Linked DNA regions of Schizosaccharomyces pombe. The gene in region 2 interacts genetically with the main gene of each other region. Each region holds a gene or a part of one and is shown on either strand. Other genes may lie near its edges.

Region 1 (5,070 bases), on a different chromosome or scaffold from region 2:
TTCAGTTTAGCTTGCAAACACGTTACTAAGCAACTTAAGGATCTGCACAGTTGTGTTAAGATTAATTATGTGAAGTTTATACCTTCGTAAAAGTTGCTTAACGAACCCTAATATATTTATTTAGGATTTTGCTAGAATACTCTAGGCAGTAATCTACTTCGCATTTATAAGTGCAAGTTCCCATTAAAGCTTTAAGACTTTTTTGTATCTTACCATTTTTACTAACTTTTGCTACTTTTTCTTTTTGAATTTTTATTTGAATAAGCATTTTCTACCCAAACCGAAATTTTTATTCAAAAGTTCAAATTTTTAGGTATTATTATTGTTTATTCTTGACACAATGGAGAAACTTTTGGCCTTCAGTACGCAGTTGCAAGCTCAAGGAAACTCTTCCAATTCTCCTCCTGATCCTAAAGACCTTGATCCCTCAGTTTTAGATCATATTTTTGGAGCAAACCCAGCTGATGAAATGAGGAAAGCGATGGACGCAATTGAGGATCCATCGGTACCTTTAGATCAGAAAGAGATAGCTTTTGACAACTTAGAAATGCTCGTAGAGCATATTGACAATGCAAATAATTTGGTTCCCCTGCAATTGTGGCCTCGCCTATTGAAACAGCTTGAGAGTCCGGAATCTACCTTGCGCAGATTAGCTGCTTGGACGATCGCAACTGCCGTTCAAAATAATCCTAAATCTCAACAAGCGCTTATAGAAAATGATGGATTGAAGATTCTCTTCGGCGCCCTAAAAAAAGAGGATTCGGATGAAACAAAAAATAAAGTCCTTTATGCAATAACTAGTGAGCTTAAACTTAACGAAGCTGGAATTGCTTTATTAGATAAAATCCCAAACTCTTGGGAAATGCTGATTGAAATCTTGGAGCTTAAACACTCGGTTATGACAAAACGAGTTATCTTTTTTTTCTATGCATTACTTATTCAAGAAGATAAATCAAAACAAATTATTCTTCAAAAGGCACACGAATTTCAGATTCCAGAAAAAGTTTATCAATTCAGTCTTGAACATTCTGTCGATGAGGATTGTGTTACCAAATCTCTTCATACACTTTATTTATTCCAGAAAAATAAAGTGTCTGTCGCAAATACTAACGAGTTATTAAAGTCGCTCGTACAATTTAAGTCAGAGTTTCCTGAAATTTTCACCGTCGATGAATGGAAAGCATTTCACGAAGCTCTTGAATAAAGGTTGAAAGCTTCGATTACTATTTTTATTATTCATGTGGACTACGGAGCAATATAATGAGATGTTTTATTTCGTTTATGACTGATAAACAATTTTTTGGTTATTTGGAAAGGATACTCTAGTAACTGTGGTACTTAAAAAGTAAGATAATCGTAAATTCATTAAAGTGTACGAGTACTTCTGTAACTTCTATCTGGATTTTCTCTCTCAGTATATCTATCGCTTCTATGAGAACGTTTTTTATATGAATAACTCCTTCCTTGATAGTAATCATCTGAATAACGGTCTGTTCGATGTTGTTTCCGGCGCTCCGAATGGTATTCGCGATACTTAGTTCTGTCTGGATCTCTATCGCGTTTGTTGTAATTTCGTGAATTATAATCTAAATGTTTACTGCTCACTGAAGACTCTCTTGAGAGGTTGTTATCTCGGCTTCTTTTTCTGAATAGTTCTGAACTGGGAGTTAAGTTGTCAATGGAATTTGACTTCTTCTGTACTTCAGTATGTTCGTTTTGTGAATTCAGAGCGGAATTTGATTCTAGAGGCTTAACAGGAAGAAACATAGTCTTTTTTGGATTTTTCCAAATATCCAGCTCAGTAAGTTCGGAATCCACAGGCTTGGCTCCCATACCCAAAAACGTCGGCCTTTGATTAACATCAAAAGCATCTTTAGAAGATAATTGACCATTCCAACCCATTCCTCGAAGCATGGCGGCGCCAAATTCTTCAACCGGAATTTCCGAGTAATCTTTCATATTAGAAGGCTCCGGAAGCTCGTCAATGTCTTTTCTATATGCATCTTTCTCGTTAACAACATTAGTGGTAATCGGCTGTAAGTTGGCAGAATTAGCACTTTTAACATCGTCATTTAAATCATTAAGGACAAGTTGGACTTCTTCAGGAAGAATATCAGTACTTTCTTTATTTGTGGCTATCTTATTTTGAGCCTTTTCATTTGAATTATTTGCCTTCCAGTCCACAATTTCATTATCCGCTGCTGATGAAGAAGCCACCCGAATATTTAGACCATAATTTAAGCCGCTATCTGGCAATTGTGAAGGTTTCTCATGAACTTCTGTTTCTTTTTTTTTAAACCTGGCTTTTCTTTTTTCCATCCAGTTCTCATCACTTGCAATGTGGATTATCTTTGGCGCTCTTTTCTTTTCGTGTATGCGCTGAATAGTTTCATTCTGATAATGAACTCCCTCTTCAGCGCTAAATCCAGTAATAAGTTGAGGACCTTTTAATTTTTTTTCATCTTCATCCTCAGAATCGCTGAATGCTTCTAATACGGCTTTTCGCTTCATCAGAGTTATTATGATAACTCACTTGTTTGCGACTAAGCGTATTACAATGAACAAAAAAAATAAAATGGCAAAAATCGGCCAGATTATAAGTAGGAAGGAAAGTTTAAAATTACAGTGAAAATAGTCTTGAGAATAATCACATTCGTACAATGAGAGTTGTGAAGCTTTTCAGGAATTTTTCGTTGCCCAGACATGGAATAGTGTGTGCTCCCTTTACCTCTTTATTTGGATTACAGAATTCATGCTCATTTCTCCCTTACTTAAAACGCACCTTCAAATAGCAGTAAAAAAATAGCTTTTTTATTTAGTGGCATTTTTTATTAATATAAAAGTATAAACAATTTTGGTTGAAACGAAAGCCTACTGTTAATATCAACCTTTAGTCTCAAATTGCATCTATCCTTGTATAATATTGCATACAACAAGTTTTAAGGTAATCTTTAAAATACGTTAAGAAAAATATGTTTAAGCAAATAGCTTAACTCAATTAGCACCATAGATTTGGTATAGTGCGTTATTATGTATTGTACGGCAGTGAGCAATGTGTTTAATCAAGAACACTCCTTCTTAGTTGGTGAGTAGTTTACTACTTTTAAAGCCATTTGTGATTGAGCCTGGAATGATTGACTTGTTTGCGATAGTTAATAAAGGAGGCATAGTACTTTGGAAAAAAACAAATTCTCTTGTTAATTTGAAATGCCTTCAAGTTTTATTTCACGAAGCTTTCTTAAGTGAGCAAAGAACGGTGAACAACACCGTAACATTTGATCGGTACACCATGCAGTATCAAGAGGCTACACAATATAGCATAGTTTTTGTGGTAAGTTTAATATATTGTGATTTGTGCTTTGACAGAAATTGTCAATTACTATACACCCAAAATGAGGTCCAAAAATTTTTTTGTTTATACTTTATCTTTGATTTTCTATTATTTGTCAAAGTCAAAGCCATACCTTTATCGTGTCATTTGAACTTAATTAACGCGGTTGAATTTTTAGGTTGTGTTTCAAGATTTGAAATGTATGGCATATTCTCAATCACTGCTTAATAGTGCTCATAATATATTTCTGAATCTATTTAAAGAAAAATTAGAAGATCGTCAAGTTCCTAATGAAGCAGAAGTTGAAAAACTGTTCGCTCCCATTTTTAATCGTAAATCAGCACAACTGGAGAATGAAACAGACACGAAATCTTTACCTGTTGAGGCTAATAATGATAACTCAGCAAGAAAGAAAAATGAATATGAAATGAAGAAAAAAGGCGCTCAATCCAAGCAAACAAATGCCCCTAAAAAAGGAAAGAAGCAACTCAGAAAATGGGATGATCAAATAACTGAGGAAGAACAGGCTGCATTGAACTATTCTAGTCAAGCATCTTCTGCTTCCCAAACAGTCGATAATTCCCAACTTTCTTCTATTGTGGGTAATAATAATAAGTTTCAAAAGACTGGTAGTGGTGATGTTATTATAAGTGATTTGGAAATGGATCCCAATCAAACAATTTCCAATAAATCTGCATCTTCTGCGTTTTCCCTTTTCTCCAACTTAATAGGTGGGAAATACTTGAAGGAGGAGGATCTTAGTCCAATTTTAAAGCAAATGCAAGAACATTTAACAAAAAAGAATGTCGCAAATTCTATAGCTCTGGAGCTTTGTGAATCTGTGAAGGCTTCGTTGATAAACAAAAAAGTTGGTTCGTTTGATACTGTGAAAAACACAGTAAACAAGGCCTTTCGGGATAGGCTTACTCAAATACTCACCCCAAGTACATCTTTGGACCTTTTGCATAGTATTCGTTCTGTACGCAAAAACGAAAACCGTCCGTATACCATTTCTCTCATTGGCGTCAATGGTGTTGGAAAATCTACAACATTGGCTAAAATAGCGTATTGGCTTTTATCTAACAACTTTCGAATCTTAGTTGCTGCCTGCGATACTTTTCGCTCGGGTGCAATTGAACAACTCGGAGTACATGTGAAAAATCTCCAAAGTTTGAAGGGTAGCTCCATTGAATTATTTGCACAGGGATATGGTAAAGACTCGAGCTTTGTTGTTAAGAACGCTGTTGAGTATGCCAAGCAAAATAGTTTTGATGTTATATTAATTGATACTGCTGGCCGGAGACATAACGATCAAAGGCTTATGGGATCATTGGAAAAGGTAATTACTTACAAAATTGATTAAGTATTGAGTCTTCTACTAAGATAGAATTGTTTGAACTTTGAACTAACATAACAGTTTACTAAAGCTACTAAGCTGGATAAAATTTTTCAAGTGGCAGAAGCATTAGTAGGAACAGATTCCTTAGCACAAGCAAAACATTTCCAAGCTTCCCTTTATCATCGCCCATTGGATGGTTTTATTATTTCTAAAGTTGATACTGTGGGTCAGCTAGTTGGTGTTATGGTTGGCATGGTATACGCGGTAAGGGTACCTATCATATTCGTAGGCATTGGACAAACTTACAGTGATCTTCGTACATTATCAGTCGACTGGGTAGTTGATCAACTGATGAAGTAAGCCATTAAATGTTTACCTTTAACTATAAGATTTTTTACCA
Region 2 (4,289 bases):
TGGGTAATTAGATGTTGGGTCGATGAATACATGACTTGGGTGGCAGAGATTGGCGGATACCTCGATGATAGTTATGATGAGCTGGAACAGCATCATGCTAACTTTCATAATAAAGCTGGAATATCTCAGAGTAATATCCCTCCTCATTTACAGGAGCACCGTCAATCCCAGCAACACTTCCAACAAGACATCGAAGCTTTGCAATCACAACAACAACAACAAGCCACTAAAAATTCCTTGATGGAAGCTGCCTACCAGAATGCTCAGAAGCAAAAGGAAGACGACTATATATCCATTGTATTTGATACAAATGGTGCTTGTAGTTGATGTACAATATAGTTGACCCTTTTTAGGGCTTCGAAAAAGCAAGCGTAATTACACTGACAAAAGTTAATATCATTCATATTATTGTTTTTGTTTTTTAATATATGTTTCTTTTGTTCAGGAGGTCTATTTGTTTAAGTCTGTGAACTTTTGAAATGCAATTAGATTACTATAATCCTGGCGCTTGTTTCTTATGGGTGAACGTCCATACATATACCAAATTGAAAGTGACTATACTTTATATTTGTTTTTTATTTCTTTTAAAATTTCACTGTCAGTAAATAGAGTTTCAACATTTTTGTCTTTAATTTTGATATCGACTATCACATATGTATTGATTAATATAAATGTTCTCCGATAACTATTTTATAAAACCTATTTAAACTATTGAGTGTAATTATTGCATTTCTCTGGCAGTAACAAGAATATTAAGCCCATACAAATGAGGAAATTGGCATCGATATCATTCAACAAGAATAGCGAACCCCCAAAAAAACAGCATCATACTAAAAGCGAACTTTCTACGAGAAACTTCGTGTTTAAAAAACAAGACTTCAAATAAAATGTTTAAATATTCCCCTTAAAGACCATATATTAAATTAAAAAAACGACAAAATAACTTAAACAACGGAAAATGGAAACATCAACCACTATTTCAAGTAAGAAGGTTTTCGGCGCTGCTGAAGTTTTTTATATTGCCCCTTCCGTCCACTCATTTTCGATTTTTGTAATTCTAGATATTTTTTCTTGAAGTACGATCGTCTTTCTGAATCGTGCAATAATTCGTCAACAATTGTCTCTTTGCGCTCTCGAGTGGGGATACGACTAGAGTAAAAGTCCTGAGGACCTTCAACGATGGAACCCACCTGAAAGTATTTGGGCATAGATTTCGTGTTTTCCCTTCGGTAATGCCGTTTCGGATCTAGTGCATTTCTCATCTTCAATAGCTGAATGTCGCGTTTCACCGATTCTGTGAGCTCGGTGGCAGGCATGTCAAACCAATTCGATCCAGCAGTGTCTTTAATATTTTTCTTCTTCTTTGATATACCAGGGGCTGAAACATGACTTTCATAAATAGGTACTGTTGGCTCGAACGACGCATCATTAATATATGACTCGCTATTCTCCACTAATTCATCTTTTTTCAATCCCATAACGAATTTCTTTTCAAAATATGAAGGCAATTCAAAAGAAGAGCTGATTATTTTGGGAATTTTGGTGAGCAACTTTTGTTGGCCATGCTTATCATCGTCAGACGCTTGCTTTTCTTGTAATGTGGATTTTGCAGATTCTAGTAGCTTTGAGATTGTTGCTAAATCTACAGAGAGCCCAATCTCAGTCATTGTTAAAAATAAACGGATTTAGGCAAAAGCGTTGTCAGTAGATGAAGAAAGGCAATTGACCAACTTTACTTTCGCAAAAATCATCCACAAGTAACATAAAATCTAAATGTACCTTTAACGTATCACAAGTGTTCATTGTTAAAAGCAGCTTAACGTTCTCACAAATCGGTCTAGTGTAATACGAAATATTTCGCAATTAATGCCCCCTTCCTCGGCACTGGGAGGGACATGAGTATACAAAGGATGCTTAACCACGAACTCGACATAAAGTGTTGTATAAATCTGCTGTAAGACATGAGTTAAAGAATCTATCTTTGGATTTGTAATGAAAATCAAACGTAGATTCGTAGGTGTTTCGTAAAAATGTAGTTTGTATTTGCTGGTCGTATAGGACATGAATTGATCTTGGTCAGCTGTGATTTTCTTTACCATATTTCTCAAGGAAAATACTACACCAAAAATGAGTTTCTCCATGTCATCTTCAATAGAATTTTGTTCCAACTGAGAAACTAACGTTTCCATAGAGTTGCGATCCGAGGGTTTCCACCTATGTGCGAAAACACATTCACCTACATTTTTGTTAGTTGAATCATGTGGCAAGCCTAATAAAGCATACATTTTCTGCTATAAATATAAAAGGCATAAATAGTCATAATAAATACTACAGGAAAAAGACGGATAATATCGAGAATGCTAATGATGATTTGCTAAGTCGTGACTTTTGGTGTACTAAGTAAGGGCTCTGGCTAACAGCGTGCAGTCAAGCATTATCTCAGTTGGACGATGCTATCATTGAACATATTCGGTAAAAGCAACTTTATTTATAGTTAAACTAAAGAAAGCAAATTATTTAGACCACAATCAGCAAGTGGTCTTCGAACGTTGGACTGTTGCAGCTAAATGGATTTAAAATAAAAAAATAAAGCGTTTAAGTTCTGTCCAAAAATTGGCGGCTTCCTATACACTCATTATTTGAAATGAGTTTACACGATTCCGACAAGCAAATTAACTTTTTCAACTGTTAACTGCTAGTATTGTAGGTATCAATAAATACATATAATATTTCTATTGTAAATTAGTTACCAATATGAAGGGATATTATATCCCGGCTTCAACACCAGCGCTGACAAACTAAGGGTTTTTTTTTTTTTTTTTTTTTTTTTTTTTAATTCCTAGCAACCTCAAAAGCATAAGCGTTATCCCTTCGAAGCTATTGTTATTCTCATCTTATGATTTTATACCCTTGATCTGATGAAATTGATACAATTATTATTATAAAAATTATTTTTGCTTTTCCTTACAGGTTTGGGTCCGAAGACCGTGAAAATTTAAACAACTTTCCCTTTATTCATGTTATATCGTTCAGAAATATGTCTACTCTAGAAAACACTAAAATAAACAAAAATCCGGAAATATAGATTTTTGTCAACAAAAAAAAAATAATAACTCGATTGGCAATTGGCATAAACTGTAATTTTATTTCATTCATCGTGATAATACAGTTAACAAAACAATGGCTCTGTAAAACAATTTGCACTCAAGCAATATGTTTTTTCTGCTTATTCAGCATAGCAAGCGTTGGTCCTCCAAAAATAAAGGTAGACACAATCCATTTCATTGAACTACAAAATGGCAATCCCTTTTTTAAACATAATAGGAAAGCAATTGCACTCTCAATGGAATGGCAAATGACCAAAAAATAAACAGTTCCATACAATATTTTAGGCCCTAAAAATTGTCGCCTTGTTTTCATGTTAGCTTTCTTGTTTATTTACATTATTATTCTTTATATTTCTTTGCAGAATTTCATATTCACTTACACACTTTCAAAGTAATGTAATCCATAATATGGCTCCACGTAGATAATGTACATTTGCAAAAGCACTACAAGTGGAATATATTTTCCAACGGGATTTTTAGGCACATGTAAATTCAGGCAGGACATATTGTAATGATCTTAGTTTGGTCTAAATTTACTCAGGTTCTATATAGGTAGAAGAATTCTTTAAACGGGATATCTATAGTATGACCATCAATACAAATAGCAAACGTTAAGGAAGCGGTAAAACTCCTCGCTATCGTGCTTACAAACAATATCTGCTATAATAAAGAATGTTGCCTTTTATTCGGCGTTTAATATGCTTTTAATAAAACCCGTAAAAACATAGCAGTACTAACTTAACCAAATAGACAATTGAGTAATTTGACACTTACATTCATTGACAATCTCACATATTCCTCAAGCAAATCCGTTTCAAAACATTAGAAGTTGATTCAACTTGGTAAATTAGTGTTTTGAATAATTACTTTTTCATATGTGTGCAAATCTGTTGGGTTACTAATAATAAATAGAATGTGAGATTTTACAATATCAGTATTTGTTATTTTTATAGTATTACTGAATAGTCAAGTTTACTATTCACATAACGAAATACTAAACCAAAAAAACAATAATATTACTAGGAAATAAAAAAAAAAGTATAAAAAAAAATTAGTATGCCTTAATTTTCATTCTCTAAATATGTTGTCTAATATAAAGTAAGTGATATATACCTTGGCGATTAATTTTTTGGATTTTTTTTTAATGCTCAAATACTTAAAACATATTTTTTTTAGTCAATA

Evidence for each region.
Region 1: mutations in fcf2 (region 2) and cwf28 together harm fitness more than expected from each alone (negative genetic interaction), as found in Schizosaccharomyces pombe (one large-scale study listed by BioGRID).

What each region holds. Positions count from the first base shown.
Region 1 is NC_003423.3:3,990,327-3,995,396, forward strand, and holds cwf28 (splicing factor Cwf28), read right to left. Parts: upstream 2,660-5,070; 5' UTR 2,512-2,659; coding exon 1,366-2,511; 3' UTR 1,286-1,365; downstream 1-1,285. Other genes in the region: fes1 (Hsp70 nucleotide exchange factor), read left to right, coding at 341-1,204; signal recognition particle receptor alpha subunit Srp101, read left to right, coding at 3,131-3,331, 3,510-4,670, 4,749-5,030. UniProt on the Schizosaccharomyces pombe protein: Involved in spliceosome maturation and the first step of pre-mRNA splicing.
Region 2 is NC_003424.3:3,143,245-3,147,533, reverse strand, and holds fcf2 (rRNA processing protein Fcf2), read right to left. Parts: upstream 1,668-4,289; coding exon 975-1,667; downstream 1-974. Other genes in the region: DNA-binding transcription factor Sak1, read left to right, coding at 1-327; TRAPP complex subunit Bet5, read right to left, coding at 1,806-2,236, 2,284-2,320; SPOM_SPAC688.16 (uncharacterized protein), read right to left, coding at 3,205-3,409, 3,488-3,612. UniProt on the Schizosaccharomyces pombe protein: Involved in pre-rRNA processing and 40S ribosomal subunit assembly. Required for the early cleavage steps of 35S rRNA at the A(0), A(1), and A(2) sites.